Caenorhabditis elegans: one gene and its partner. The protein of the gene in region 2 interacts with the protein of the main gene of each other region in a pairwise test. Each region holds a gene or a part of one and is shown on either strand. Other genes may lie near its edges. The genes, in order: mut-16 and nucl-1.

Region 1 (16,013 bases), on a different chromosome or scaffold from region 2:
TTTTATTTCAGGTACCAGTGACGACGTGGTTTGATGATCCTTCAGATACAGAGCTTTTGGATATTCTTCCATCTTTGGAGCACTTAAACGGGGTTTGGATTTAATTTTTTTTTTGAAAACTATTTATTGGCCAAAATTTTCTATGAGAATTAATTGGGCAAGTTTTTGTTAAGAAAAAGTGACTGAATACTGAATATACTGGAAATTCAAAATTATTTTGAAAAACTCTTTCAAAATCGCCTAATTTAAAAGTAAAAATAACATTTTTCAGTTCTCAAGCATCTATGATCTGTATCGACCAGAAGAAGGACCACAATCCGAGCTTCTGAATCACTGCTCTTGCTAATTAATACGTCATATCATAAATTCACAAAGTAGCTGTTTTCTTGTTCGAGACGTCGTCGTAGCTCAAATCACAAAAGTACTATAATTGCCTTTTCCCAAATAAAAATCCAAATCTTTCCGAAATAAATTCGAATGAAAATACATATCCACTCAGGATTCCCCACTCTCTTCCCATTTTCTCTCAGATTTCTAATTGGATTTTTTCTGTCCCACTTGCCCTTCTTTGTTTTCCTTTTTTACCAGTTAAATTCTCCACAGTCCCCCCCCCCCCCCCCCCCATCGCATCATCATCATTCTCATCCGAATTGTGATCTTTTAATATCAAATTATTGCCCCTTATTAGTGTTTCCAAAAAAGAAAAATTTTAGTTTCAAAACCGTCGTAGTGTGTATCCTTTTTTGGACAACATTTTTCTCCAAAATAGTTTCACCAAAATTTGCAAAATTTGTCATTTTGTGTTTTCTTGTATTTTTCCCCTACGTAGTTGCACTTTGTCATTCGTTTTAGTATAATTATGCTGTAAATACGAGCTATTTTCTCTTTTTGAATCTAATATTTCTGAAATTCCAAAGAAAAGGAAAACAGTAATTAGATTCAAAAAGTTGCCAATTCTGAAGCAATCACCCCCAAATACTGAAAACGTGCATCCCTCATCCTCCATCCAGTGCCTTCGTTCCAATTTTCAACCCGAGTTTTCCCTTCATCCCTTTCCCAGAGACACGTATCCCTGTTTTGAATTGTCACCGTCACCACCAATATTCGTGCAGTATTATTATTATCAGTTGACTCCCGGTTCTTCTACTTTTTATAAATATTAAAACACAAATTTGGACTCGTAAAAATATTAATTAGGAAAGTTTGGCGATTCAAGTATGAAAAAACAGGTAATAATCAGTAGGCAGTCAATAAGAACGAAAATTAAAAAAAAAAAACATGGGTTTAGAAAAAATGAAAAAATTGAGACGAGTGGGTGAATACAAATAAAAATGGAACAGTAATAGGAACAAGTAAATTCTTAGTTTCGGATATCATCTTTCAAAACGACATACGGCTCAATGTCACCTCTTTCCACTATAGCAACCGATGAAGAATCTCTAATATATTGGACAATATCAATGTACCGAGGAATAGCAGGACGTCTGCTCACTTCTGTTCTCAGTTCTTGTACCTGAAAATAATTCACTTTTAACGAAAACCTTTTCATTAAAAAAACTTAACATAAAATTGGTACAGTTACTCTAATCAAGAAGTCTTTTTGAAAGAAAAAACATGGCATTTTTCGAAGTAAAAAGCTTGTTTTAATTATACGAAAATATAGTGTAGAGATGATTTGAAAATACTCTTTATTTTTAAAGATTTTTTTCGTATGTGTCAATCAAATTTTCTCGTAATACTTTTTATATAATTACTAATATCACATCGTAGAACAAATTGAAACTTTCAACGAAAATTACTACTTACTGTCAATACTGTCAAGTTCATGCTTCGATAACGGAGAATTATATCTCTCAATTCCTTCTCAATTCCATCTTGAAATATTAATTCCCTGTTCGATGGCTGACGATTCGAAGAGAGAACACTAAAAGATCTTTGAGCTTCCGGTTGATGGTTTGATTGTCCTCCGTTTTTATTAAAGTACGGCGCAGAATTTCCGTTAAAATTGTCATATCCTTGTGGTTGTGACTGATGAGGCATATGACTTCCGTGATGGTCAAATTGATGTGGATTTTGACTGTATCCGACTGTCATTCGATCTCTTTCATAATCAGCAAGTTTGAAGTTTCCGTGTGGATCGTATTCTGGAGGATTTGGTGGAAACTGATCAGGTGATCTTCTTCTTTGTGATGAATGATCTTCATGATAAACTGATCTACTGCCATAATGATTGAATTGTGGATTACATCCATAATTTGGATCGGAAGAAGTCGGACCCTGATTCGGATTGTACGAATTTTGATATCCATTTTGATTGATATGAGGTTGATTGCTCATATGTGATGGTTGTTGGCCAACGTGATTATAAGCAGGTTGTGGCACTTGAGAATAATTAAATGGAGAAGGACCATGTTGAGGGTTGTTCTGAATTGAATTGTATGGTGGATACTGTGGTGCCGGTTGTTGATAGATTGGTTGCTGCTGATTAACTGGCGGATACTGTTGGCCGTGCATCGGTTGGTGGATTGGCCTGAAAAATGTTAGTTTTGTGAATTTTTCTGTTTTTTTTTCTCAATTTTAGCAAAAAAGGATATGTCTTTTGCTTGCATGAAAACCCCAAGACTACAATTATTACGCGAATTGTTTTACATTACTTTTAAAGATGGTCAAATAATATCAAATTTCTTGAAAATATTGTCAAATTTATGAATTTATTAACCGAAAAAGAGTTTTTTTATTTCGGAAATTTTTGCGAAATCTTATCAAAAAATTCGATTTGGGTCCATTTGAGCGTTCTTTATTTAACTTTTGGAATGAATTTTTAAGTATAATCCTTACTGTTGATGATGTATTGGTTGAGGCGCATATTGATGTGGTTGAGGTTGTTGTACAGGAAGCTGTGGCTGATATGTTGGCTGTTGAGGGATATATGGTGCACCCGGATGAGAGTTTTGATACTGAAAAGATAATGATTATGACTTCAAACTTGTAGGATTTGAGAAAAAAACGAACATGGTTAAAGAAATATGGTTCAAATACCCAACGCATCACTTCGAAAAGTTTCTGACTGTGTTGGACAATAAATTAATGGAAAAGATCTTCAGTCTTTTAAAAGAATGTCCCAATTCTTGTTCACGTGAACAATACTGTTTTCTTTCAGTTTTTCTGTTAATTTTTTCTGTCTTCCAGAGAACTCAATAAATTATAATTTCACATTTCTCTCAACTTTATCCGAACTGTGAAGCAAAACTATTTCGAAAACAGCAAAAATAGATCGAAAATGTAATCATGTGAACAATTTTTCGCAAATTTTCAAATATTTGTTGTAGATACACAGTCAAAGTTCTCAAGACTACGGTCATTAAAATTGGATCACTATGAAATTTCAGTGGTACAGAAATGCACGGAGGCATTAGATTTTTCTAACAATTTTTTCTAACGTAAGTGTGGATAGAATGTTTAGACTTAAAATATTATTAAAAATGAAATTACCACAGCTGTTTGCATTGGTTGATTGGCTGGTTGACTTTGGTTGACTGGTGGTGGTGCTGGATGTGATGGCAGTCTGCAATAATTTTTTTGGTAATTGAAAGATTAAATTTTAAAGCTAGGAACCTTCTGTTGATGAAACCATTGGCTGAAGGTCGTTCTTTCAAAAGCGGATTCCGTACAGGCTCTGAAACTGATTTTAGGCTATTAAGACGAGTCCTAAACTGCTTAAAATACCTTTTGGCGCAACTTTAATCGGTTTGTGCGTATCCGCTGGTGTGAAAGGAAGTTGAACATTGCGTCTATCCTCGTCGTGATTCGATTTAGAGTAGAAATTTCCGACTTCTCTGAGTGGAGCTGGATTCTCAGGTGGAACGACGACTTCAGGACGTGTCGAAACAGGGATTGACGGTGCTGCGGTCGTAGAAGACGATTCTACTACTGGAGTCGGGAGAGCTACATTCACAGTGTCAACTGGAGGTGTATTGGAAGTGTCAGTAGCAGATGATTCTGATTTTTTCTTGTACGTATTGAATCGAGTCTCAACTGAAATAGATTTTCATAAATTTAATAGTTCAAATTGGTGATTTTGGAAAATTTTTGTAAGGCGGAATATCGTTGGTGTTTGAAAGTTCAAAAATTTAAAATAGTCTCAAGTTCAGAAATACCACAATAGAAAAATGAAAAAAAACGAAGCATCATCCCCATTCACTAAACTCCGCTTTGGAAATGATAAAATTCGTACTTTTCGAAGGAGGTTGCTGCTTAGACTTCGTGTGCTTCTCACGACTTCTTAGTTCTCTTTCCTGTTTCTTTTTAAGTTTATCCTTTCTTCTTTGACGCTTAATCTCCTTTTGCTCGGGATCTTCATCAGAGTAGGATCCTTCAGAAGTGATTTCACTATCTGATGTCGTATCACCGACATCTTGAACACGCTCACCACGATCTCCATATGAAGGACCACGGTTACCATTGGTGATTGTGCTTCTGCTAAGAGCTGGTGCTCCACCAAATGGATTCGGAATCGCGGATCGTTGAGGGGCTCCGGACGAAGTGCCTTGGCCCATTAGTGGATCTGTTTCCATCACACGATTGACTGGAGAAGTGGGTGCACGTGGAGGACGAGATGTTGACCGATCAGTATTTCGATTAAAGTGCGATGAAGTTGTTGGTTGCTGAAAATCACATAAATTTCATTTCTATATTGCACACAAAGAATTTTGTGAATAATGAATGTTTTTTTTATCGCACTCACCAACGATCCATCATCATCTGCATTGTTAGAAATGCCCCCAGCAAAAGTCGATGGTTGATAATTCGGATCTGGTACAATTACATTTCTGCGTTGTTGTGGACCACGACGATCATCTAGAAAAGAAAGATTTTTAGATAATCACAAAAAATGCAATGTACCTGATCTCTGTCCACCGGCCCTATAATTGCCTTGGCTTCCGTAGTTCTGATTTCTCTGATTGCCGGTTTTCCATTTGTTCCTAACATCCGCAATATGTTCATCAGTGAAAAGAACAACTGGTCCTGAATGAACAAACGTTGAAAATAAATCGAAAATATTTTTAGTTACTCACGGTTTCCTTCATCGTCAGCTCTAAAATAGAGTTCTACAGTTTTGCCGTTGGCTTGTGAAACCACAATTTCAGAAAATCTTGCAGTTGTTAGAAACTTCTTCAGTGTTCCTCGATTTGTATACTCTTTGAACCAATCATTATTCCACAGTTTTTCTGGATCGAGTTGAAGAATATCCTTATATTTTCGAAAAATATTCGCATGTGCCGCACCAGTAACCATATTTGTATAAGCAGTTGAAAGAATTTGATATTTAACTGAACGAATGCTATATTCATTTCTGACAGCCATTAACAATTCCGCAATCATGTTGAATGTGAGTAGAGTACGAATTTCCTTCTCTTCGGATTCAAATGTATCTGCTTCCTTTTTCTTCCTTTCCTGGCGTTTGTGCCTGCAAATTTTATACGCCATTTCGAGGAAACACCACCGATCGAAGAGACTGTGTTTTTTTTGTGGTGATTTGGCAAGGAGAGCTCAGAAATATTTAACTTATATATTTTTTTTTTTTGTACTGAAATATTTTCTTAATTTCTCTCGTGAATCGGCACAATAGTCATTCGATTAAAAAAAATGGAATTTGAGCAATTTCGCTATTGATTTTGAAAAAATATGTTCAAAACAAGAATAAAATAATTCAAATTCGATTATTCCATGAACATAGGGAATTATATCGATTTACGAGAGCAATTATGACGGGGTTTCAGTGCAAAAAACAAATTAATTGCTGTTTTTAACAATAATTCACATAAAAATTTCCACAAAAAAAGCCTGTAATAGCGTCTCTCTGATCGCCGGTGCCTTATTTCGAGTCGTTCAGAGCTTTTCGTGACAAAAAAAACGCACTGTTCTTCGGATCCATTCATCAACGAAACAACAGTCTCACGTTCTGAATCGGAAATGACTGGAAAGAATGCGCCCTCTTTGGACTGCAGCCAACCTCCTCGTACAAGTGCATGGGCGTGTTCGGTCTGAAAACAATTAAGTTATAGTCTCCCTATGCACATTGTAATTTACCTTGGAATCGTTTGGAAGCTGAGAAATAATTTCTGGAGGAAGCAATAAAACAGCTGTTACTTGAAGACTGTATCCCATACAAGATTTCAAACAATCATCCAATTCATCCGAGGAGTATCCAGAACGGAATTTCAATGGATTGCTCAGCAATGAAGAGCTCAGGAACAGCTGAAGATCACGCTAAACCATTAGGTCACGAGATCATATAAGTATTTAAATACCTTCATGATTTCTGGATTACTTGCATCGCTGAAATCATAATCGGCGTTATCATTTCTTCCGATGACGTTTTGTATAAGATTGTCCGGTATCGTTTCTGGTGGAGGTTCATCCATATTGTCATTCTGAATCAGAAAATAAAATTGAAATATACGAACACGAATCTTACCGCATAGTAGGCATCCACGTCAAAGTCATCGTCTCCTGAATCCAAATAACTATCGTAGTCATGTTCACCCGATGAATTTCCATAGCTATTAGTGTCATCTTCAGTTCGATTTTGCATGGGAGTTTCTTCACGATCAGTTTCCGTATACGAGGCGGGTGGTGGACCAACAACGATCCCCAATGGATCGATATATTGATCGGAGATGTCTAATTCCGGATAATCATCATCACTTTCGGACATTTTCTGCAAATATCGAGTATTTGAGTGGGTTGAAACGTTTGAACGGCAATAAATGAGAAGTAAACGATAATTTGCTAGAGGCATTAAAGAAAACTTTCTATTCCAGGAAGTATTACGATTCTGGGACAAACAAGCGAAATTTGTAATAAGGTCTCTCAATAATATATATAATAGCTAAAACTTCAAGTCGTGCACTGTTGCGTTAATTCATTTCATTTTGAGCCGATAAGTCTGCAATAAACAATAATCATAGATTATAAAGATTTTTAACAGTTAATATTTTGTTTTGTTTTTGAATTCGGAAGCTTGTTCTTCAATTTCCAGTGCTTGAGATTTAAATGAAATTCGATCTGGAAGGCAATTTTGAAACAAACTGATTGGAAAACTGTTTAAATGGTTTTTTCAATTGAAATAATGATAAAAAATGTTAAGGAGCAATAAAACGCGTTCTAAATATTCGATCGGCAAGCAGATGATTGACGGTTATTCATTGAAACGTCGATAGAGCGCGATTGCATTGCGTTCAGGAAAAGTTGAATTTCTATCGAAAACAAGTATTAGAATTGAAGAAAACGTTTTGAAACTAAAAAATCATCTAAATCGGCATGTTTTTTAAACTAATGAACAGTCGCTTCATTAAAACATAACAGAAATTTGTTTGTATACGATAAACTGGCTTTTAAAATTGAAAAATATATATATAAAATCAAATTCACCGGCACATTTTCTCAAACCGATCGACAAAAAAGTACTTTAATTTTCCGAAAGAACTATTATGAAAGTGTATCGGTAAATAGTTTATTTTTAGGCCACAAAAGGATCAATTAACATGTTAATTAACACCTTCTGTTTCGAATTTTATCGCTTTTTAGTAATTTTTTGAATAGCTAAACAATAATTACTTTGAAAACGAAAAGAAATAACGAATATGGTGAAGTAAATCGCAGTTTTAAAAGTTGAAAAGGAGAAAATACATTTTTCAAATACAACTCAAACAAAGCGGCGCTTCTACTACGGTCACACTCATTTCACGTGTATGATTTCAAATTAAATCGTATGTAGTTTTAAAATTTGGTTAAGATTTCAGATTTAAATATTTGAAAGCTTTAATAAAAAATTATTGAAGACCATATATAATTTTTGAAGGCTATAAACCTTAATTTTTAACGAAAATATTAGAAAAAAGTTTCAAAGCATTAAAATTAATTTCGCGTCGGGACCAGACGCGCACTCACCACAATGTTCCTTAATCAAAATTAGTTTCTGTATCGGCGGGAAAATTGAAAATTCATTTTGAGCATCGCATAATCTCACTCACCATATACATTCAACGACTAATCGAGTGAATAAATCGATCGGAAAGGACATTTACAAGTTTATCTGAGCGAATTATGACCGAAAATCCTATGGAAAGTGCATTAAAAAAACTTTTTCCAGTGAAATATAAACAAAAATTAGCTGAAAAATACATATAAGAAACTAGTTGAAAAAAGGTTGGTACCATTGATCCTTGGCCCCAAGATACACCCCATTTTGTCTACTGGATCCTTTGTCACTTTGGACACTTTGTCTCCAAAGAACCTACGTCACCCAAAAGTTTGCAATCTAGGAATGAACAGTGAAATTTTAAAGCATTTTTATTTCAAAATGATTGGAATTTGTATCAGGGATTTGTGAGCGAACAGCTTAGAACTGATTCCACGTCGAAAAAACCGATCAGTCATGCAATGTTAACAGTATTTTATTTTTTATTCTAACAATACAATCTGTGACTATGTTGAGATCGTCCAATAACAGTTGAGCAGAGGTTTCTTCTTATCCAGAAGAAAGCTTCTAACTTGCTATCGGCAAATCGCTTCATAGCACATTCACAGACTTTGCGAAGATTTTCAATCTCCCCCATTCGTACATTCATCGTATATTCTTGTAATTTCCTAGTTAAAGACGAAGTAAGAGAATTAGCGTTAAATGTACGAAGCGGATCTGGCGCCGTCGGGGTATTATAGTCGTATTTTAGGGTTGCGGCTGGTTAGCTATAAAAATTACCCAAATACGAAATCCAAAAATTTGTAAACATCGAAAAATAATATTCAGATACAAAATGGAAGAACTCGATTGTACAGATGGATATGATATTGAGAGAAATGATGGACAACTTGCAACCTTGGTATTCATCGAATTTTGTGTCGAACTCGTCATTTGGAAAAGTGATAATTTACATTAAATTTTTATGAGATATCTCAGTATATGAAATTTGGTTTTTTCGGGAAAGTTTCAATACATTTGAGTGTAACAACCACAAATTCTACTCCTCCGTTAATTACCTCCTCTTATTGCATGTTTGGGTCTTTTTTGTTTTTTTTTTCATTCATGTTTTTTTTGTGACAGACAAATAAAATATGCAAAGGAAATCTGTTTCGAATCGTTTTATTAGACACTTGAAGCTTATTACACCCCTGTTGAGAACACGGAAAGAAACATAGGAAGTCGACGGCAGAAAAACACAGAAAAAGGAAAAAGAACATCTGGAAGTGATTTAATAAGCGGAAAGCATAAGATGTGCAGAATGACGGCAAGATGGAAGCAAATCAATGAAATGTGGAGACCAGTAAATTCTCTGATAACGGCGATCCTCGTGACGAGAATAATCTTCACGACGAAGGAATGGAGCAACATAGTCAAGACCAAGTGCACGACCATTCCAGTAGAGAAATTGATTCTGATGACTGAAATAACAGGTTAGCAAGGAAAGCAAATTGCCTAGACGAACCGAAGAGTATCTGTTGGAACTGTGAATGTGCGACGTGTCAGTGGAGGCAAACTGATATCCGATGCGCTTTTTGTGTAAATTAAATTACGAGCACCACGAACTCTATAAAAATGACAAGTTTGGTTTCCAGTTGGTTCTAAAACACCAAAAGTTTTACCTATATTTCTTGTCTTTTTCAAGAAGCCATTCGGATTGTCGTGGATTGTAAGCCTTGTGTGGTGCCAGGTCATACTCGATGGCACGGTTTCTGAAAACATTTCAACAAATTCAGGTGTCTGAAAGTTATTACCGTATTTCCTCTATTAGTTTTATTTGCAAGACTAATTTTCAATTGACCCGTAAGGGTGCAAGACTACTCGGCAATTCCCGACAGCTTCTTCCCCAAGTTTGGGCCTTTTCAGCTTCTTACCCAACTCTTGCCAACTTCTAACCCAGAGTATGCCCAAGTCTTACCCAACTTCAACAATTCTAGTGTAAACTCCCTCGCCCGAGTTCTGCCCAAGTCTTAGCCAAGTTTTGCCAACTTCTTACCCAAGTTTGCAGATGTAAAGAACGAACAAGATTCCGAAATCCCGCATGCGCAATGTTTAGCGTAAATCGACACTTTGTCTTTTGATTAATTTGTATTTAAAATAGAGGAATTTCAATGTAATTGAAAGAATTCACAGGAAAACTTGTCCCTTCAAAGGCAAATTCTAAATATTTTTCTCTGGTGGCTAACATTGTTTAAAAAAATGTACGAACAAAGTCTGATTTTTATTGCCATTTTGTCTAATAAACCATATAATTTTTCTAAAAATAAAAAGAAAAGTTATCTTCAGGATGATTCTTCTCCTAGTCAGTCCAATAGTCAAATAATAGTCAGTCAATCCTATGCATCAAATTTTGAATTTTTCTAAGACTGAACTGTTCTTTTGAAATGTAAACTTTTATAAAATTGAGAGACATGAAACAAACATGAATTACAGTAATTCTGTAAATTCTGAACTTAGAATCATTAGGTATTGAAAACAAACTTGAAAACAAATGAAATAAGGTATGTGAGAATACCGTATCAATCAGATATGTCTGGTACTTCCTCAAAAATATCTATCAGAATATGAGTACGATATATAATTACTAGTGTGGATCTTTTCGCGCGACCATCATGGCTCAGCAGGTAAGACTTCGGCACAACGGGAAATGAGATCAAAGTTCAACACACAGGTATAAATTGGGTAAGAAATAGGCAAAACTTGGGTAAGACTTGGGTAAGACTTGGGCGACGCCTCGGGACGACGAGGCAGTCGACGACTTTTTTCATTTTTGAGACGGCGTCCAACTCTTGCCCAAGGTTTACCCAAGTCTTGGCAGCTCCTTATAAATGTTTTTATTTTTTGGGCAAGCCTTGGGTAAGAAGTTGCGAAGCCTTGGGTAGGAAGCTGGCGGCAAACGCCGAGTAATATAACTTTCGCACGAGTTTACTCAATCTAAAACTGATAAAAAATGAGAGAGAACTTTAATACGGAAAGAGTACACATGTATCACCAAATAAAAACTAACGTTTTGTTAATACACAAGCTTGGAGCAATTGAAGTATAATTGTGTCGTTCGCGGAATGATCCGAGATAAGGAGAATACATTTCATCGTATTTCGAGTGACGAGCAAAATTCATCGTGTTAGTGGCGTCTTCAAAGCTGAAATATTTTCGGACTTTTCAGCTGATGACTGTAAGTCAATTAGCAATTTTATTTTTTGAGAGAGACATTCTTGGCGTTTTTGGCGTTTTGGCGTTTCTACGTTGTAGAAAACCGTTTCATTTGTTTCGTGAAATTTTGGGTCCACGCTGTGCTAGAGACGAAGTTGGTCTCGTTGCGGTTGCGAACAGCAGTATCATCTCCAACAAACAAATTGATACAATAAATCAACGTAATACTTTGAAATTTGCTGAGAATTCAAAGAGTGAAACATGACAATTTGATTATCTTACAATTAATTTTAAAAAGCTTCAGGATAGGTTGCATGTTGAAAACTCACGCAGTGGAAACAATATCAATATACGTGTTTGATGGGCTTCCGGCCACAAATCCCTTGTAAGGAGCTGATGTCCATTTTGAGTCGGATGCAACTTGAGCTTTCACCTGAACACATCGATTTTTAGGATTTAGCTAAGGTTTTGGCTCTGGATTAGGCTTAGACTCGATCTTTAGCTTTAGTCTAGGCGTTGACATATATAAATACTTCTTATAGTTGATTTTATTTTTTGCAGAAAACCGTTCGAAATTTTTAAAAAATAAAAGTTCCTCAATAATTTATATTTTTCACTGACACCCCTAGGAACTAGATAATGTCAAAATAATAACATTTTCGAAGATGAAAACTCACGCGATCGAAGGCGCCCATGTTGTTGTTGTCTCGATGGAAAAGAAGAAGAGACTGAAGTAAAGAGTTTGAGCAAGAAGAGAAAAACTAGGCGGAGTTTTGAGAGAGAGAAGACAACAAACAGCTGATGTCAGATGGGGGCGGAAGATCAGAAGAATCGAGATTTTGAGGGCAACCGAGAGATGTGTTAGACAGGTTGAGAAGAGAAGTAGTCAGTGATTAATGAAAACCACTTGGAGGATCAGTGGAGAGATATGTTGCCACAGGAGTTTTGGCAGATTTCGAGATGATCGTGAGAACACGAGGAGACAAAAGCACACAAAAAAGAAACACAAAAATATATTCTGAAGCCAAAACTTCGATAGAAACTGCAATACTTTCTGCGATAACTTGAAAAATATAAGGAAAAATGCCAGAAAACAAATTACTGTATTTCTTATATTAAACATGGTAATTGAGTTAATTCACGGAGGATAGTTGTAGGTGCAAGTGCAAATATCTTATGAAATATGTTCACATAAAAATTAGGAAAAAGAAAAAATTATGACATTTCGAATTGGAAAAATAAAGCCGTGAAGATTCTACGTTAGATAAGAAAAGAAAAAACAATCACAAACTTGTCGATAAATTCAGTTTCGAATTTACGAAGGACGACTTCTTCCCTTTTCATCTTCAGACACGTGACACATTGACTGGTGAGTTTTAAATTTCAGATGATTGCTTTTGAAGTAGTAGAGTGGGGTTGCTAGCCTCTTCGGCCACTGAAGTTGCACATCTAGAAAGATTCACTCTCAACTTTTTCTGCATTTGGGAGAAAACTTTCTACCAAATGTTTTCAACTTTCCAACTTGAGGGGATTTTAATAAAACTCAAAATTGTTGGCAGAAAGTTTCCAACGTTTGGTAAGAGGTTGCCCCAAAACGTCGCCAGTTTTTATTACTGTGAAACAAAAATAATATTGTTTCAGATTGGAATCAACAAAAAGTCAGCACCAAAACCAATGATCGTGTACGTCCTACTGGCAATTGTCGCTGTTCTGGCCTACTTCTACTTCAAGAACAGTGAGAATGGCAAGAATGCAACGACATCTCAAAGAAGTTCAAGAAGCACTCGTTCCACAAAAAGCTCGAGATCATCTCCGAAGACTGTGCCTGTTACTGAACAGCCTGCAGCTGCTCCACCTCAACAACTCGAACAACCGACCCCTGCACCTGCTCCGGAATCTGCTCCTGCTCCAGTTCAATGCCCGGAACCAACTCCTGAAGTCCCTCAGCAACCAACACAAGTGTCCGCTCCAGTTCAAGAAATCACTCAAGGTGCTCCTGCTCCAATCCCCGAGCCAACTCCAGTCACTGCAGAACAGCCAACTCCAGTTGATCCTTTGAGCTCTCCAATTAAACCAATTGGTAGAGACTCTGTATTGTTGGCGCCGAAGGACAATGTTTATGGAGGAATTGGTGGGAAATCCGAGAGGATGGCTCCAACTGAGAATGCTTCTGGAGGTGGGAACTCGGTTATTTTGGGCCCAAAGGATAATACTTCCAATGGTGTCGGTGGAAAATCGGAGAGATTGGCTGTGGATTCTGGACCTGCTTCATCTGATCAATCATCTTCTGCTCCTGCTTCTACTGAATCGAAGAAATCGAAGAAAATTAAAAAGAAGAAGAACAAGAAGTCGAAGGATAAGAAGAGTGAGTTTGATAAAAGTTTGAATACTATCCGAATATTCAAAATTTCAGAATCAAACAGTCGCAAAAACAAGAAAAATAAGAAAAGCAAGGGAAAGAGCACATCTACTTCTGAGCCTCCAACTCCAAATCAACCGGAAACTGGAGTTCAAACTGCCAACGAACTTCGTAACGATGCTCCTGAATCAAATGTGAACACTGCCATGTCAATCCAATCTCCAGTTCAAGATACTCCAGAACCTGATGTCAAAACCGCTTCTGAAGCCAAAAACGACATTCCAGAATCTGGTGTGAAGACTGCTGCAGAGGTAAAGAATGATGTTCCTGAATCAGGAGTCAAGACTGCCGCCGAAGCAAAGAACGATGCTTTTGAGAGTGATGTTAAGTCTGCAATCGAGGCAAAATCTGATGCACCAGAATCTGACGTGAAGACTGCAATTGAACTTGGTGGAGAACAGAAGAGCGGATCGACTGTCAGTAACTCATGATTCTCAAGAATCAGCTAAATGTCCCACAAAACACGTGATTTTCTGAATAATTTGAAAAATTTAGGCGAGCAGTGTTAACTCGAAGAAATCGAAGAAGAATCGCAAGAAGAAGAGTGAGTTGTTTTAATAATTGTTTCTAGATTCAAATGTGATTCTTTCAGAGCGCAGCAAGGCGAAGGCAAAGAAGTCAGCTGAGAAAGTAGAGAAAGATCCATCTTCTTCACAGTGAACTCTCGATTTTTAATTGGAAAATGAATGAAGGGATTTGGTTCTGCATCTTTTTTGAATACTATTTTAACCATAGAAGGAAATTCCGATGGGTCAAGACGCTCACCTAGCTTCACAAATATTGCGTAAATATTTATAACAGATGTTCTCTAGAAGCGACAAGTTACCAACTTTACCATTTCGTTGGAAGATTTTCATTCTATGGTTACTTTTATTTTTCTTCGACGTTTTCGAGGTCGGGCGGGTTAGAGGAAGTAGCACCTCCCGTTACGGCTATGTTACGATGTTATAGATCGTCCTTCTCATGTATTTAGATCCCATTCTGGCGTCCCCTTCAATAATCTAATCAATGAAGATGAAATTGGCTTAAATAAGCAGTTTCTATCATCAAGTACAAGATTTCCAGTATAGATATAGAGAGGGCAATGAGGATGCTGTTAACAGCCTTATACCCCGTGAAATGCAGTGAGATACACCTAGTTAAATATTGTTACAATTGAGAAAATAATTCAAAATGAGCACTCAATCTCCTCTCCCCCGGAAAACGTTTTTGAAAAAGAGAGAGCAGTTTGTAACGAAGTTAACATGGAATTCTAGTTGTTCGAAAACACTAGGCAGTGATCCCTTGATCGAATAGAAAAGGCGAGAAGAGATGCGGTAAAAATGGGAAATATAATTTAAATTTGGTTTGAAAAAAAAAATTTTGTTCCACTATTAAATGAAAACGTGGCCTTGAAATCTATTATCAAAAAACGTTTTTGAAAACCTTTAGCCACTGGTAGAAATATTTTCGTTATTTTCTGATTTTGAAGCTGTGAAAGTTGGTTCTACTTTCTAAAATGGTAAGTTGTGAAGGAAACACTTCAATATCTCATCAATTTGTAATTCAGGAGAGCATCTTACAAATTATTGTAAAATGTTTTCCAATTGCAACGTTCATCCTTTTCGCGGCATTTTGTGTAAGTTTATCCATACAATTCATTGATTGAAACTTCATATTTTCAGGCAAGTAAACCAAAAGAAGTTAGAAGAAGCCCAGCGAGAAAACTGACAATGTCAACTTCTACTTTGGAATCTGAAAAGGAGGAATTGAACAGTGTTGAGATGGTTTTGGCGGAAGAGATCAAAAAGGAGGAAAAGGAACCTGAAAACCCATTGATTAATGAGACAATGTCAGAAGATAGAAGTGTTGCATGTGGAAATAAGAGTGATTCGAAGGAACTGAAAGAAATGGTATCTCCAGACAAGGAAAAGAAAAAAGAAGACTCGAAAGCAGAGCAAGAATTCGTCCTCGATGAAACCAATCCACATTTTGCTTTTCTTCTTGCTGGAGAAAACAGAGATCCTGCTCAATCAGTTCTTCACGCAAAAAATGCATTTGAACACTCGAATGGATTCATGTGGACAATGAAGAAGAGATTGGCTTTTGATGAAGGTTGCTGGAAACACTTGAGCCGTAGAATTGGAGCTATTAGAGCAGAGGTTCGGGAAGTTGATCTAAGTATTCAAATTATCAAGCTTTCCAGGGATTCGAAGTCAGAGTGAACACTCGTCAAGCAAGGGAGAATAAGCAAAGGTATGTTGTATCATGATAACCTTTTTGAAATAATAATATTTGCAGTGCGGATCGGGAGACCAAAATTGACCTCGTGTTCAACAAGTTTGCAGTTGGAAAAGGAAAGAAGAAGGCTGGTGGAGAGTGAACAGTGAATACTGCTTTCAATAAATGTTTTTTCAATTTTGTCTATTTGGGTCATCT
Region 2 (16,013 bases):
TTCAATTTCATTTTGCACTACGAAATGCTATTTGCGTCACTCTTTGCTCACCAAAATTCAATCTAATGACCATTGTTATCGTCACACAATTTGTTTAGATTTTCAGCAAAAAAAGAAGAACGAGAAAACCAAAACGCCAAACAACCGGGAATCAGTTGTAGTACTCGGCTTCATAAACAATGAATTTTCGCGTTTCTGCTATAGATTTCTAGAGGAAAAACGAGTCGTGACATTGTTTAAAACAAGTGAAAAATGCTGAAAGATGAGCTCTCGGAGCAACTTGTTGAGTGGTTTGAAACGGATAGGAAATGGGAGACAAAAGGGAATCAGTAGTTGAAGGACACTAGAAATTATGATAGAAAAAAGCTGTCAGTTTAGTTAGATCAAAGAGCTTTCTTTGATTGATTGATCGGAACATCAGAGTTCGAAAATTGAAAGACAAAGTATTCCTCGAGAATTACGAAGTGAAGTACTATGTGAAGATGGACATAGATTAGTGTTCGTAAAGAATTGGGAATCGAACCAAGTATTTTTAAGATAGAGTATATTGGTATTCGGAGGGTGTAATAATGAAAGAGTTGTTGCTATTTAGGTCTCAATTTATACGGTTTATTTATTAAAATTTTAGATATTTAAAATGCTACAGTTGTAATATTGAGACAACCTCAGTATGAGAAGTGCAATTTCTTTTTTTGGAAAATTTCTACGAATTTATTTCGTTTTTATTAATTATAGTATTTAATCATTGTGAATAGAAAAAACTCAAACCATTTAATGTTTGTAACAATCTCAAATGAACCACCTGAGAATGCTTTCTACTAGATGACAATGGCCAAAAATAAATAATTTTTTCCAACTCGTCACAGCCACTCAACCAAACGTTTTTTTTATCCAAGAAGAGAAGAACAAGGGACAGTTGTCCGCCGTGTCTCGTTTCAAACAAAAAATGTACGTGAAAAGTGAATGAGAGCTTCTCCGTCCATTCTGTCTTGTTTTCTCATTGGCTCATAGTCTTTGTCGTCGTCACATCAAACATATCATATTATTTCTCGTGGTGAAGAGTGGGTGATCTTTTTTGGGTTTAAAGACTGTCTTTTAAAAAAGACGGTAATGAAAATTATTTAAAAAGTTACAAGCATTGAATAAATATGTCCAGTCGCTAGTAGATTGGAAAGTCTGCTTTCTCCGGGAAATGTGATGTATTTATAAATATATATAGATACATTCGAAAATTCTCACGCTCTTCTAGGAAAATAGCTTTTCCCTAGGATTCTTGGTCACCTATAATAATTAACGCGTTCTCACCATTTCGGCTCTATTTTCGCGGATCTTCCTAAAGCGGGTGTAAAAAGGCTTAAGAGTATCCAAAAACAGTGGGTTTTATTCCATTTCACAATGGGAACATGGAAACAAAGATAATGATGAGCACCGGGAAGGGGGAGAATATAGGTAAAACTTATAGTATAAAACATGGAAAACAAGGCGAAGTGGTGAACAAGGGGGGACATAGTGAAGATTAGTTATGATCAATTCTCGAGCAAGATGGTCGGTATGTACCGTTCATGATTGCAAGCTCGACGAGTTGTCTACGCTTCAGCTCATCACGCCCATCTGGAGGAGGAACCAAAAGAACTTGGACTGTTTCCAGAGCTGCAGTGATCCGAGCAGTTGCCTCACGACGTGGTCCGCTTGTCTCGACAATGACGCGAAGTGGCAAATCAATTGCACTGAAAGAAAAAATGGGTTGGGCTAAACGGATTAAATGGGGCGTGAATACATTGAAGAAAATAAAATGATGTATTTGAAATCAAAATGTCACGTAATATCTATCAAAATTTTGATGATTTTTAGTATAACTCACTCTTGGCTTCCATCTCCATGAGTTTTGTGCAATGCATTTCCGTACATCTTATTCGAATGATTTCCGCGGATCATGATTCGGCATCCGGTATCTTTCTCAAGCTGCTTCGCTGTCGTTCCACGAGGACCAATGATGCGGCCAATAAAATTGTAAGTGGGGTAAGTCTCGACTGGAATCCTAATACTTTCAGTCAAAGTGACCTCATCTTCATCCGAATGCATCGAATCATCAGAATCAGAGAACATAGCGCCAAGATCAGTAAACCGAAGTGCTTCTCGTCCACATTCTTCAAGAATTCCAATGTCAGCCATTGAGATTGGAGCCATGAAGAGTCGGCCGATCTCTTAAAATCATAAAAACATTAGATCTATAAAATTGGAATTCATACCTTCATCGATGAGATGCACTGAGAAGTTAGCCTGACCATATTGGAGAAGACGGGACTTTTCAGCTAGGAGCAGCTTGAAATAAGAGATCACTACATCCATTTGGTCGGATTCCTCATGAATTTGGATCGATTTAGGATCTCTTTCATAGTCGGATAGCTGCAAAAAAACAGATAACTGAAAAATATATAAAGGTGTGAACTAACAATTTGCATGAATTTCTGCTGGAGAGGGGTGAGAAAGCAATTATGGTTGTTCATGGTGAAACATGAACAAGACTGAACAATTTCAGCCACGGAGCTCCGTGCCAACGTGGCATCATGGGGATGACGTGGAGGTCACGCGTATATTCAGACGTGATTAAAATTAATCAGAGTAAGGTCAGAGACGTGGCAACTGCATCTTCTTTCTTTTATCATCCTTCAACATTACATTCAGTGCTTTACAGGATAAGTGAACGTGTTCCTAAAAATTGAAAATAACTCTGACCAAAATTCAAAACAGATGACAAAATGATTACACGATTGAATATATTTTCAATGACTTTATTTTTGATAGTGTCGAGCACATCAAATACACCGAGCACACTTACTCAAATAACCTAAATGAAAGGGATTTGTGAAGAGGCAGGGGAAAACAATGAAAAACGTTTTGGGACAACAATTGGGATTGATAATTTGTGCAAGAGAAACAATAAAACCAACAACAATGAAAAATATTTAAAAAAAATGGGATTTAACAAGGAGCGAACAGATGGATCAACAAGATGGAATAAATCTAGAAGAGATTAGTGGTATGGTAAACAATGGTAAATTTATTTCTTTCCCTTGAAACCGGTCTTCTTGAATTGCGGCTTTTTCTGCTGCACACGTGGAATAGTCTTCGGTTCAACCTTAATTTTTTTTGTAGAAAGTGAAGATAAAGGTTTTAAAATAATCTGGATTAGAAATTACCTTTTTCACGAGCTTCTTTTGTTTTGGTTGTTCTTCTTCAACTTCCTGAATTCCTTCATCACTTGACGCCACCTCTTCGCTGTCATCACCTGACGAATCAGCAGCAACTTTCGGAACAATTTTTTTTTGAACCGCTGGAGTAGCTGCCTTCTTTGGTTTCACGTCAACCTTCGTCTCTTGATGTCTCGCATAGAACACATCGACTAGATGATTGTTAACCTTCAATCCATTTGATTTTGCGAATGCAGCTTGAGCGTCTTCTACGGTTCCAAAAGTGATGAAAGCTCTCTTTTTCGAGTTTGGCTGACCACTTGCGTGAAGGATCTTAATGTCTGTGGATGAACGGAAGATGTTCTTCAAGTCTGTGTTATTGCAGGTTCCTGGGAGAGCGTTGATGAAGAGCTGGAGAGGATTAATCGGACGAACTCCATCTAAAAAATTATACTTTGCTTGGCTAAGGAATTTTAAAACGTACGTTCTTTTGGAGCTTTGCTTTCACTGAGACAGAAGTCTACATAAAGAGCTTTTCCTTGAATCTTAGATTTGCTAAGAACATCGTGAGCTTTCTTGCAATCTGCGACAGTGTTGAATACAAGCCATCCAAAGTTCGAGTTCTTTTTGCGACGGAAAGAATCGAGTCCAGTTACAAGACCAGTGATTTCAGCATCTTTTGCTTTCTTAGCAATTTCTTTGATGAACAAAGAACGCGAATCTCTATCTTGACGTCTTCTCTCCTCTTCACTGATAATTGATTTACCATCGCTCTTGACTTGTTTAGAAGCGACGGTAGGCTCATCAAGCTTTCTCTTCACACCTCCTTGTTTTTCGGTGACTTTTGGCTTCACAGCTGGGATATCTTCTTCCTCTTCCTCCTCTTCATCTTCTTCCTCTACGTCTTCTTCATCCTCCTCGTCTTCGTCTTCATCACTATCTTGAGCAGCAGAAGCAGCAGCACGATTTGCAGCAATCTGTTTGAGAAGATCAGCTTTCGACTTGATAAGTGGGACATTTGTGGTATCCTCCTCCTCTTCTTCATCTTCCTCGTCCTCCTCTTCTTCTTCATCTTCATCCTCATCGTCACTGTCCTCCTCAATCGCTTGAGCTATTTGACTTAAAGACTGCTTGAGGACTGGAGCTTTCTTAGCTGGAACATCTTCTTCCTCTTCCTCCTCCTCTTCGTCTTCCTCCTCTACTTCTTCATCCTCCTCATCTTCCTCGTCGCTGTCATCATCAAAGTTCAGTTTTGGAACATCACCGGCAGCATTTTTTGATGTTTTGGCAGGATGCGGGGTTGCTGGTGCTTTCTTGTCAACAGTAGTTGGGGTTGCAACCTTAGATAAATTGACTTGCTTTCCTTTTGTGGAGTCGACAGATTTGAGAGAGCTTTTTACAGCTGGAGTTTTAGCGACAGGCTCGGTCTCCTCCTCGTCCTCTTCTTCCTGAAAACAATAATATTAAAGGAAACTCGAAATAAACATTGCAACATTTTCCAAAGAAATTTTCACAAGAAAATCAGCCTTTGAGAAAAAAAAAACATACCTCCTCATCTTCTTCGTCCATTTCAATTTCTTCCTCGTCTTCCTCATCTTCTTCATCTTCCTCAACAGCAACAGACTTTTTGACCTGCGGAGCGTCATCATCAGATTCTTCCTCCTCCTCATCATCGTCCTCTTCGTCATCGTCAGAATCTTCAGCAGCCGTAGCAATGGCACTCTTAGCAGTTTTCTTTGGTGGTTGTGGCTCCTCATCACTCTCCTCCTCATCTTCTTCGTCTTCACCAGAATCGTCTTCTACTGGTTTTGTTTGTTTTGCAAACGGAGTTCCGGTGGCAAGCTTTTTCTTCGGGACTTCTGGAATATTGAATAATTGCAAATAAATCTAAAATCAGCACTATACCCTCTTCCTCGTCGTCATCTCCATCACTATCATACTGTTTTCTCTTATCGCTAAAACCAACTCGGCTGCCTCCCCCACGAGATTGGAAGTTTCCTCTTCCTCCGCGCGGTGAGAAATCGTTTCCACCGCGTCCACGAGGTGTGAAGCCACCACGACCGCCTCCTCTAGGGGAGAACTTATTGCCACCACGGGACCCTCCAGAGAAATCTCCTCGACCGCGATTAGCTACACCACGATCTCCTCCTCGCCATGGAGAGCCACCACGATCACCTCCACGGAAGTTGCCGCGGTCTCCTCCACGCCATGGAGATCCTCCACGATCTCCACCTCGGAATCCACCACGGTCACCACCTCGGAAGCCTCCACCACGTCCTCTTGGGGAGAATCCACCTTCACGATCACCACGGAATCCTCCTGGTGAGCGACCTCTATCTCCTCCTCGGAATCCGCTTGATGAACGTCCTCTATCGCCTCCACGGAATCCGCCTGGAGAACGTCCTCTATCTCCACCTCGGAATCCACCACCGCCACCACGTGGGGTGAAGCCACTGCCACCACCACGACCACCGCGGAAGCCTCCGCCTCCGCGTCCTCTTGGTGAGTCGAAACCCATTTTGATTGTACCTGAAATAAATAAAATAAAGTTAGGAAGTCCTAATTAGAGTTAAATCAGGAAATAACAGCGACCAAATGTGTTGTAATGATATATTTCGATATTTTATGCATTATAGTAATTTTTAAGCAGAAAATTTCTTCAAAAAACGTAGAAAAGCGATTTATTTCAGTGATAAACATGAAAAAGTACACAAAGAGAATGTTTCTAAATTCGAAATTCATCGATAAGCGGGCGCAGGTCTCGCCACGATCTCTCGAATAAATGCATGCGCCTTTAAACGTTAATTTTCTTGCTGGCGGCAGCCGGCTTGCAACGGCTTTCAACAATTCGACAAATCAATAAAAACTGGATTTTCCGTACATTTCTTTTTGTTTGTTATCAAAACCGTTTGAACTGTCAATTATACACTTTTTAGAATTCGTTTTCATCAATTAGAATGTTTGTTCGTATTTATATTGCGTGATATTCTTTTAAAATTGAACAAAATAGTTTAATATAAATATTTTATTTGCAAAACTCTGTCATTTGCGATACATAGTTCTTTCCTAATTGTTTTAGTAAAAACTTAAGTTTCACGTGCCACCTTATCCACGTTTCTATTTCTACGGTGTATTGCCCCTCGGCGAATTCGAGTTATAACTTTTTTACAAGCTCGTATATTGCAAATCCTCCATTAATCTCTATTTTTTTCTCCTTTTGCATTCGCTTCCGAATTTTTTGTGCCGTTTACTCAACTGCTCTATCTTTGCAGCAGGATGAACATTCGTTGTGCTCGCGTGGACGATTTGATGAGCATGCAAAATGCGAATCTTATGTGCCTTCCAGAGAATTATCAAATGAAATACTACTTCTATCACGCTCTTTCTTGGCCGCAGCTCTCTTATATTGCTGAAGATCACAAGGTATTTTTTATTCTCATGCAAATCTTGACTTGAAACATTTATTGTTGTTCAGGGAAATGTTGTTGGATATGTTCTCGCCAAAATGGAAGAAGACCCAGGAGAGGAGCCACATGGTCATATCACCTCTTTGGCCGTCAAAAGATCTTACAGACGTCTGGGATTGGCTAATAAAATGATGGATCAGACCGCAAGAGCCATGGTCGAAACCTACAACGCTAAATACGTATCGCTTCATGTTCGTGTATCAAACCGAGCCGCATTGAATCTATACAAGAACACACTGAAATTCGAAATTGTGGATACAGAGCCAAAGTAAGTATTAATTTGAATAAATCCTCATTTCTCGGCGCGGATTAGTTCGTCCCTCGATGAACAACTGAAAAAATTCTAATCGACGTTTCCCAATCACCCGTTCGATTTCCAACGTTATACTTTTTACAGAAGTGATGGAATTAAATAATTTTGTATTCTTTTTTGGTTCACCTATTTTTAATTTTTGTTCCAAGTCAAGTTCAAATTGAAAAAGGTTATTGTGATTATCAGTGAAAGGACAAAATGTTTCGAAAAATAATTACGTTTAATAACGTGGCGCTTTTTTAAAACAATAAACAAAAATATGCGAGCGAGGTGATTAAACTTTGGCATCAATCAGAAGAAACATACTTCAATTTGCAAATTATGATAACTTTTAGAACCTTATTAACCCTAATTATTAACAAAAATGACAAATTCCAGATATTACGCGGATGGAGAAGATGCATACGCTATGCGTCGCGATCTCGCAAAATGGGCAGAAGAACGGAACATCGAGCCAGCAGATCGAGAGGCCTATACCACTGCAAAAACCACTGACGATAAAAAGAAAAATCGCAGTTAATTCGTTATCAAAGTTTATTTTTGCCTTTTCCAACTGGTTCATTCTGATACTTTCTCTGTTCTCCCCTTTCAGGAGGATCTCTTTTCTTTCAATTCTCGTTTCCTCCTCTGGTTTTAGATTAGGTAAAAATTTAAGTTTTCCCCTGAATAATCTCTTTGATCCCCCTTTGAAAGCTCATTAATAAATTTAAAGCATTAAAATGGTTTGTAGATGTTATAAGCAGTTGATTTCTGTATTCAAATATCTGTAAATATTTATTTCGACCTTTAAAGTTAATGTTTTAGATGAAAGGTGGCGGTGGAATAGGGGATGGCAAAAAGGACTATCAATCAGCTGTTCATGAAGTAAGTTTTTATTAAAAACTCTGTTATTCCTTTTAATAGTTTTGAGTGATTCAGATGAAATATAGATTTTAAATCTAAATTTTTCAGGGATTAACAACATTCGATCAATTGGGAATTGCACTTGAAGATGTCGGTAAATCAATGGACGCAGAAACAGCTACACCAGGAGGAAGTTTATTTTCCAGAGTTATGTAAGTGATTCGGTTATTCTCGAAAAAAAACTCATTGTTGAAAATGTAGCACTATTTTCTAACATTTCAACAAATAAAATTCTGGCTCACTACCGAGTTCGTATTTTCAACATTGAACAGACACATGGAATTGTTTTCAAAAATCATTCGGTCTCACACATTATGGAGGGAGAAACAGTTTAACCTCAACGCAAATCCGATTTGGTCGAATCGTTTCATCGCCTCTCCCTCTGCTCTCATAAAACAAATAGATTGAGAGTGGTGTTACACGAGTTTTCCATACCAAATGAGATCCTTTTTGACAGGTCGGAGAGAGAATTTATTTGTTTTGATAGAGACTCAAAACTAAAAGTTATGATTTTGCCCAGAATGTTATAATATTTCACGACAAGTATAACTTACAAATGAAGAAACGAAAAATGTTCTTCCTGTTTTTTTAATTTCTGAAAATCATTAGAAATTGGTTAGTTATTCTTTTTCGCATCGATTCCAGTTTGAGCTCATGTATTATCATTGTCAAAAGTTTGACGCAATTAAGCGACTATTCATGTTACATTTTTCTGCAATTGAGCTACATTTCGCCAATAATATAAGTTTTTTTTTAAATCTTGTTCATGATATATCAAAGTTAACACAGGTTTTTTTTTCTAATTTCTGACTAGAACGATCTTTGTAGGTACAAATTTCTTCGAAATTCTATAGCCAAAAAGTGATAAGATGATGTCTCAATGATTCTCGACACTTCTAACAAATAAATAACCTGATTCTACATTTTCGAGGTCATTCATACTTTGGTTTCTCATTTTTCTTTCCAGTTGAGTTGAAAGTCGTAGTTTTGATTCCGAACTTAAAATTTTCCTCATTTCTTTTACATTATGTAATTTTTTTTTGCAAAATTATATTCCAAACAGTATATTAATCCGATCCAGTTTTCGTTTCAGGAACGAAAATTCTTCACTAAAATCGAGGACGTACGACCATTCAAACGATCTTGTGAACATGTCGGTGATTCCTGCCGAATCGAGTTATGTACTCTTTTTCCAAGTAAGTTTTTCAGGTATTTTACAAAAGAAATTATGAACTTGCTGTTTTCAGGTTCTCTTTCCGTTTGCCGTCGCTGGTCTTGGAATGGTATTTGCTGGATTGGTTCTCTCAATAGTAGTCACATGGCCTTTGTTCGAAGAAATCCCTGAAATTCTGATTCTAGTTCCAGCACTGCTTGGGCTTAAAGGAAATCTGGAAATGACACTAGCCAGTCGACTCTCAACACTTGTGAGTTTACACTTGAGAATATTCAATTTTATAATTTTCTATCAATTTTTCAGGCTAACCTTGGTCATATGGATTCTTCAAAACAACGAAAAGATGTAGTCATCGCCAACTTGGCACTTGTGCAAGTTCAGGCTACTGTCGTCGCTTTCCTCGCTTCTGCTTTTGCCGCTGCTCTCGCTTTCATTCCTTCTGGGGATTTCGATTGGGCTCATGGTGCATTGATGTGTGCAAGCAGCCTAGCTACAGCATGTAGTGCATCCCTCGTACTATCACTGTTAATGGTGGTTGTCATTGTGACATCTCGAAAATACAACATCAATCCCGATAATGTGGCCACACCAATTGCTGCATCACTTGGAGATCTGACGACACTCACTGTACTGGCTTTCTTCGGATCCGTGTTCCTCAAAGCTCATAATACTGAATCTTGGCTCAATGTTATCGTGATTGTATTATTCCTTCTTCTCCTTCCTTTCTGGATAAAAATTGCCAACGAGAATGAAGGAACACAGGAGACTCTCTACAATGGATGGACACCAGTCATCATGTCAATGCTTATCAGTAGTGCTGGAGGATTTATATTAGAAACCGCAGTCCGAAGATATCATAGCTTGAGTACATACGGTCCAGTATTGAATGGTGTTGGAGGGAATTTGGCTGCTGTTCAAGCCAGCAGACTCTCTACTTATTTCCATAAAGCCGGCACAGTTGGAGTTCTTCCGAATGAATGGACTGTCAGTCGATTTACCAGTGTTCAGCGTGCATTCTTCTCAAAAGAATGGGATTCTCGATCGGCTCGAGTTCTTTTGTTACTCGTTGTTCCTGGTCATATTTGCTTCAATTTCCTTATCCAGTTATTCACTTTGACTTCAAAGAATAATGTGACACCCCATGGACCACTTTTCACCAGTCTTTATATGATTGCGGCAATCATTCAGGTAAGGTTTTATCGAAAATTTAAAATATATAATCAAAATTTCAAAAATTGCAGGTTGTCATACTTCTATTCGTTTGTCAACTTCTCGTCGCTCTTCTTTGGAAATGGAAAATTGACCCAGATAATTCTGTGATTCCATATCTTACAGCTCTTGGAGATCTCCTAGGAACCGGACTCCTATTCATAGTATTCCTCACTACTGACCATTTTGATCCAAAGGAACTCACTTCGTCATAATTTTAAAACGTTCAAACTTTTACCACATTGTATAACTGCATCCCCGTTATTATAGATTGGTTCTCATCCCCCATCTGCATGTAAAACAGTATTTCGCTAACCTAATTTTTCATTTTCACAACTAACGCACTTTCATCAGAACTCTAGTCAAACCCGATGAGTTGATTGATATCCATTTGCCGTCAAGCGCATAATTTTCTGTACATTGTGATCCATTTTTCTCTCTAGCTATTTTTGGTCATATCTAATAGACATTTTGCATTTTCCGCTAGTCACTATGTATTTTTTGGGAATAAATAAGTTAATTTGAACTTTTAAATTTAATTAATTTTTATCTCTGGACATCTTATTCCGCGAGTGGTCCAATAATTTTGACAAGATGGGCCAAGAAAAAAAACAATTTTCCAGATGGAAATAGGACAACGAGTTCGAATAAATTTCGAAGTAGCAACAGTTCGATATATTGGAGAAGTCGATGGATACGGTAGTCAACGATGGGTTGGATTGGAGTGGGATGATCCGACACGTGGAAAACATGATGGAATTGTGAGAGGAAAACGATACTTTCAGACGAGGTTAACAGACATTTTCATCAGAAATATATTCTATAGACATTTCTCATTCGAAACTGTCGGAAATGAATTCCAAATTGGGACAAAAAATGGAAGTGATCTCCGCTGTACACATTTTCATAGTTTTATGGCGGTCTCCATGAACTTTTAAATATACAGTGTCGGGGGATTATTTACCGTATTTAACACTCCAATTACTTTCCCTTAAAAATTCGTCACTAAATAATACAAACTAGTCACAAAAGTGTGAACTTTCAAATTTTCAGACATCCAAATGGAGGATCATTGATGAAGCATGAAATAGTACCGAAACCAACTGATCTATTGTTTGAAATCAAAGACAGATACATCGAGGAAGAGAGCGTCGAAACTGAAATTGAATTGGCGCAATCCAATAAGAAGATCGAGTTGATCGGAATGGATCAAACGGCTGCAAAACAAAGCAATATCGAGAAACTTATAAATATTGTTCTTGATAATCGATCAGTCGGCTTCCCACCTTCCTCGGATTCTCCCCAATTTATACTTTGTCGTGAACTTAATCTTTATGGAAATCTACTGTACAAATGGAAAACAGTTCGTCAGATTCTTGAATATTTTCCTAGAATTCAAGAACTCAACTTACGAAGGAATCGCATGCAATGCTTCAATGAAGAAGAAGATGATGATGAATCAGAAGGAGATGATCATGTTTATTCGGATAGTTGTAAGAAATTGGTCATTAGTGAATGCAATTTATCTGAGAATTCGGTAGGTTAAAGATTAAAGGTTAAAGGAATACCAATGAAATATTAAAAAAAAAGTGTCTAGAATTGCTATTTTTATTTTTCAGATCGACTCGATTCTTCTCCGGTTCCCCTCTACATCAGATGTCGTGGCGTTTGGTAATGATCTCACAAGATTCTCAGTTTCTGAAGCTGTTTCATCTCGTCTTACATCCCTCGATCTCGAAGATAATCCATTCAAAACACTAGATTCCATTCACGGAACTTTTCCGAATTTGACACAACTTTCTGTGGCGAATTGTGGAATTACGAGCTTAAACGGATTCGATGGTTCGATAAAATTCCCGAAACTCGAATATCTGAACATAAAAAGAAATTCAATTGTTGAATGGAAAAGTGTAAATTCCATTAGATCTCTTAAAAGTTTGAAACGGTTATTGTTCGATTGCAAAAAATTATCAACTGAAAAGGGTGTCCATGCCTATGAGATTGTAATTGCCAAGTTGAGCACTTTAATAGGTTGGTTTCAAAAATATTAAAAATTATTTAAAGTAGATGTTTTTTTCTAGATCTCAATAGGTTTGATGTGTCAGAAGTAGAACGAAGGTCTGCAGAAATTCGATTTCTGAACAAATATGCCGGTCTAAATGATAACGAAGATCATCAAGACGATATCAAAAGACTGATTGAAATTCATGGAGAACCGACACTTGATACAGCAAAAAAGGGCCTTGCGGTGGTGAAAATTAGAATTGAATGTGGAAATCGAGTGGAGACACGAAGGCTTCCATTGGGAATGAGCATACAGAAAATTAGAGATATGGTAGGCAAATGAACAATCATTATTATTTGAATCAAGAAGACATGCATGTACTTTTGAAAATGCAAAGAATTTAATTTAAAAATGTATTATCTTGATTCGATTATTTTGGGGACGCAGAAACGCGCTCCACTTCCAATTGAAAACGTAACGAGCAATGGGTCTCGCTAGGTATTTGACAGAAAACTGTAAAATCAAACGTTTCTAGTTTGTTTTGCCGATTTCGCTAATTTTAAAGATTTTTTGTTATGTTTTCCGTTGTTTCCAAAGATTTTTATGCCGAAAGTAATGAAATAAAAATTTGAGACAAAATAGAAAAAATCATTAGCATTTCATTTTTAAACATCTCTTCGACATAAAAATCATTAAAGAATGAAAAACGAACCAAAAAAAGACGAAAAATGTTTAAAAATAGGCGAAATCAGTAAAACTAATTGAAACATTTTAATTTACGGTTTTGTCGCCTAATACCTAACGAGACCCATAGTTTGTGGGCGGAGCATTTAAAATTAACCGTTGAGCGTGTTTTCAGATCAATGTCTAAAGTGTTTTTTTCTGCGTCCCCATATAGAGGCTAGTTTCATCAAAAAATAGAGGCTAAATACTTCCATCAAAAATTTTATTTTTTCCAGCTCGCTCGTCTCTTCAAAGTCCCCAATACATCGAAAATCCGTCTATACCTCGTTATGAGTGAAAAAGCCAAACAACACCGAATTGAACTAGAAAATCCGTTAAGAGAATTTGGACACTATTCACCTTCAGAAGATCGAGATATTCTTGTTGTGGAACATGATTGAATTGTTACCGGAAGATTATTTATTGCACAACTTATTGTTTGTTACAAAATATATGAGCTTTAACTTGCATAAAATTCCTTAATTTCTTATCAGCGAAAATGTCCGTTAAAAATACTATCCGTTATGTATCGATTTCAATACTATTTACAATTATTCCGATTATGGAATAAAATCAATCAGTGAAAATTTCACTTTTGAAAATTTCGTCATATGCATGGGTCTCGCAACTATTGTTGGTTTTTTTTGTACTGTGATCTACTATTGCATACCAGAAAATCTTTTTTGAATTTTTGAAGAATGTCAGCGAAAGAAGTGGATTTCGAGAGAGAAAGTCATCTTCAGTGAGTTTTTAAATTACTGAAAATCAATAGTTATTTGTGATCTTGTTGAATAAAGTTCAATTTATCATAAAAATAATTTTGAATTTTCAGTGCTGTGATGTGTTTTCTCACTGGACAAAGCGGCGAAAAGATTGTATCTATTTATCCACATCGAAAACCAGCTACCAAAGGTAATCTGAACAATATAAAATCTCAAAAAAAAAAACATTTTCAGCTCCATCGAAAGATCCACAACCTTCCAGCTCTAATCCAGGACAATGTGTGAAGCCAGTTCTTACAAGTGTCAAAGAGTTCGTTTAAATCCGAATATTTAAATTTAAATATTCAAACGTTCAAAATTTCAGTCCAAGTTATGGTTTCGGACGTGTGGATACAGAATTCGACATGTCTCTCGGAATGCTTGCTTATGTGTTCAAAACTCAAGAAATTGCGTGTAACGATGGGTTCGATATGAAGATCAATAATCAAAGATTCGTTGCATATCCGAAGACATGGAAAGCACGTGGTGAATCCACCAACTATCAGATTTCGATTGTTTTTGCACTTAAAAACGGATGTGAACAGCACACAGCGTCCGCATATCAAACACTTTCGAATAAGATTGCAGTCAGTTTGGTCATGCTCCAAAACTATTTTGGATTTCTGGAACGAGAGGACAAGTGGGCAGATAATGCTGAAGAACCTAATAAAGATCATCCTCTGGAAGAGTTCGCAAAGACTAGTTTCATAGTTCAACCATTGGCTGAAATGTTTGAAGAAGTGCGAAATCGAGGAAATATTCATGTAAGATTCAAATTCTTTTAAATTCAGATTTGTTTCCACTAAAGGTTCTATCAGATTTTGATTACAATATTTATTGTAATTTCGCGATATTTTTGACATGTCATTTCAAAGGAACACGCATTTTTCCCATGGTGGTCTTGTCACGATATCAGGGTGCCAGACTTTACAGATTTGTTCATTTGATGTAGAAAAAAAACTTTTGAAATTTTAAATTCTAACCTGTTCAGAAAAACAGAATTTATCATGTACCATTTAAGCACCTAGTAGTATCACTTTACGCGAATGGATGATAAAATTCAATCTAGACTTAAAAAAACATTTCCAGAAATATCTCATAAATTTTGTGGAACTTGGATTTTGTGATGAAGCACATGCCTTGACGAAGTTAAATGTAGTGCCGAAAGGAAGGCAGGAAATCGATGAAATCGTCAGAAAAATGAAGTGAGTTTTTCCTATAATAACCCATTTTTTGGAACTACAAAAACTATTTTTCAGACCTTATCACGGAATTTTGCTTCTCGAAGATGTGTGGCCAACTCCAGATGCAAATCCGATTGTTGCTAAACTTCTCAGTCATTGTAGTCCGGATCGTTCAATTTTGGATATGTCAACGGCGTCTGGAATCCCGATTTTTGAAGTTTTCATGATCATTCGACACTTACTGCAATGGACACGTGCTATTCTCATTTATCCTTTATGTAATACAAACATCTATACATCTGCAACAAGTCCACAACCTCTTGATAAGTGAGCAATTTTTTTGTTTTTTAAACTATATTTTATAAATTCAAAACAAAATCACTATTTTCATAGAACATTTTGATTAGTCAAGGATTTTATTGTTACATTGAAATTCAACAAGTTACAGAATGGCAGAGAAGTTCACAGCTCAATTCGGCAATACCATTCACTTGGCTGCCGGGCTGGCTCATTTCAATCCCCCAAAAACACTGGATACGTTTATCCGAAAAAACCTTCCTCTACACGAACAGGGAGTTCGTGCGAAGCTTGTCGTTGCTTTGCTTCGTCATCAAATGCTCATGCAGTTGCATCAATTTTACTATATTCTGAAACCGTACTCGATCGCGATCCTACCAGAACCAAAAGAGCCATGTCCCGCTGAGTTTACGAAAATCATCGAGGAAAGCACATTACCAAATGACGTGAAGGGAGTTGTAGCGGATATTTGTGCTGAAATGCTCGAAACTACATCTTATGCCAGTGTCAAACGAACGTTGAGCCTTTTCGTAAAAGTTGCTCCGATGATGGATGGAAATCATCATTTGGAAGAAATCAAATACAAAAATAATTTGGTAAGAAATTGAATAGGGTAAATTCTGCTAATACTGATTAAGTATTTTCCAGGATCGTACAGAAATCGAGGGAGTTTTCGTGTCTTTCAAGCTTGTAATTGCTACATTCCGCCGTCCTGATTTTGTTGCCGAGTAGCCAAGGATCTTTTATTCCGGTTTTTATATTTTTCTCATTTATGTACAAAAAATG

What was found.
Region 1: the proteins of nucl-1 (region 2) and mut-16 interact in a two-hybrid assay, tested with the Caenorhabditis elegans proteins (one study listed by BioGRID).

What each region holds. Positions count from the first base shown.
Region 1 is NC_003279.8:10,070,867-10,086,879, reverse strand, and holds mut-16 (MUTator), read right to left. Parts: upstream 6,722-16,013; 5' UTR 6,719-6,721; coding exon 6,479-6,718; intron 6,435-6,478; coding exon 6,312-6,434; intron 6,271-6,311; coding exon 6,091-6,270; intron 6,045-6,090; coding exon 5,920-6,044; intron 5,468-5,919; coding exon 5,076-5,467; intron 5,026-5,075; coding exon 4,903-5,025; intron 4,858-4,902; coding exon 4,745-4,857; intron 4,665-4,744; coding exon 4,235-4,664; intron 4,036-4,234; coding exon 3,727-4,035; intron 3,677-3,726; coding exon 3,616-3,676; intron 3,566-3,615; coding exon 3,493-3,565; intron 2,958-3,492; coding exon 2,839-2,957; intron 2,531-2,838; coding exon 1,807-2,530; intron 1,514-1,806; coding exon 1,361-1,513; 3' UTR 1,172-1,360; downstream 1-1,171. Other genes in the region: scpl-1 (CTD small phosphatase-like protein 1), read left to right, coding at 12-92, 272-346; B0379.1 (uncharacterized protein), read right to left, coding at 9,255-9,444, 9,489-9,590, 9,646-9,735, 11,031-11,165, 11,506-11,609, 11,854-11,871; B0379.7 (uncharacterized protein), read left to right, coding at 12,851-13,541, 13,590-14,011, 14,091-14,139, 14,188-14,255; B0379.2 (RanBD1 domain-containing protein), read left to right, coding at 15,094-15,096, 15,145-15,213, 15,260-15,736, 15,781-15,830, 15,876-15,957.
Region 2 is NC_003282.8:8,283,810-8,299,822, forward strand, and holds nucl-1 (Nucleolin homolog 1), read right to left. Parts: upstream 5,722-16,013; 5' UTR 5,710-5,721; coding exon 5,097-5,709; intron 5,051-5,096; coding exon 4,740-5,050; intron 4,640-4,739; coding exon 3,676-4,639; intron 3,632-3,675; coding exon 3,201-3,631; intron 3,140-3,200; coding exon 3,062-3,139; 3' UTR 2,778-3,061; downstream 1-2,777. Other genes in the region: K07H8.9 (K Homology domain-containing protein), read right to left, coding at 1,517-1,727, 1,862-2,204, 2,250-2,406, 2,454-2,507; N-alpha-acetyltransferase daf-31, read left to right, coding at 6,468-6,614, 6,667-6,926, 7,350-7,491; K07H8.2 (SLC41A/MgtE integral membrane domain-containing protein), read left to right, coding at 7,776-7,835, 7,923-8,026, 8,956-9,070, 9,122-9,298, 9,352-10,236, 10,290-10,472; tbce-1 (Tubulin-specific chaperone E), read left to right, coding at 10,881-11,047, 11,311-11,794, 11,877-12,288, 12,339-12,592, 13,222-13,386; nprl-3 (GATOR complex protein NPRL3), read left to right, coding at 13,684-13,727, 13,818-13,897, 13,942-14,017, 14,072-14,510, 14,836-14,951, 15,006-15,257, 15,379-15,823, 15,876-15,959. UniProt on the Caenorhabditis elegans protein: Nucleolin is the major nucleolar protein of growing eukaryotic cells. It is found associated with intranucleolar chromatin and pre-ribosomal particles. It induces chromatin decondensation by binding to histone H1.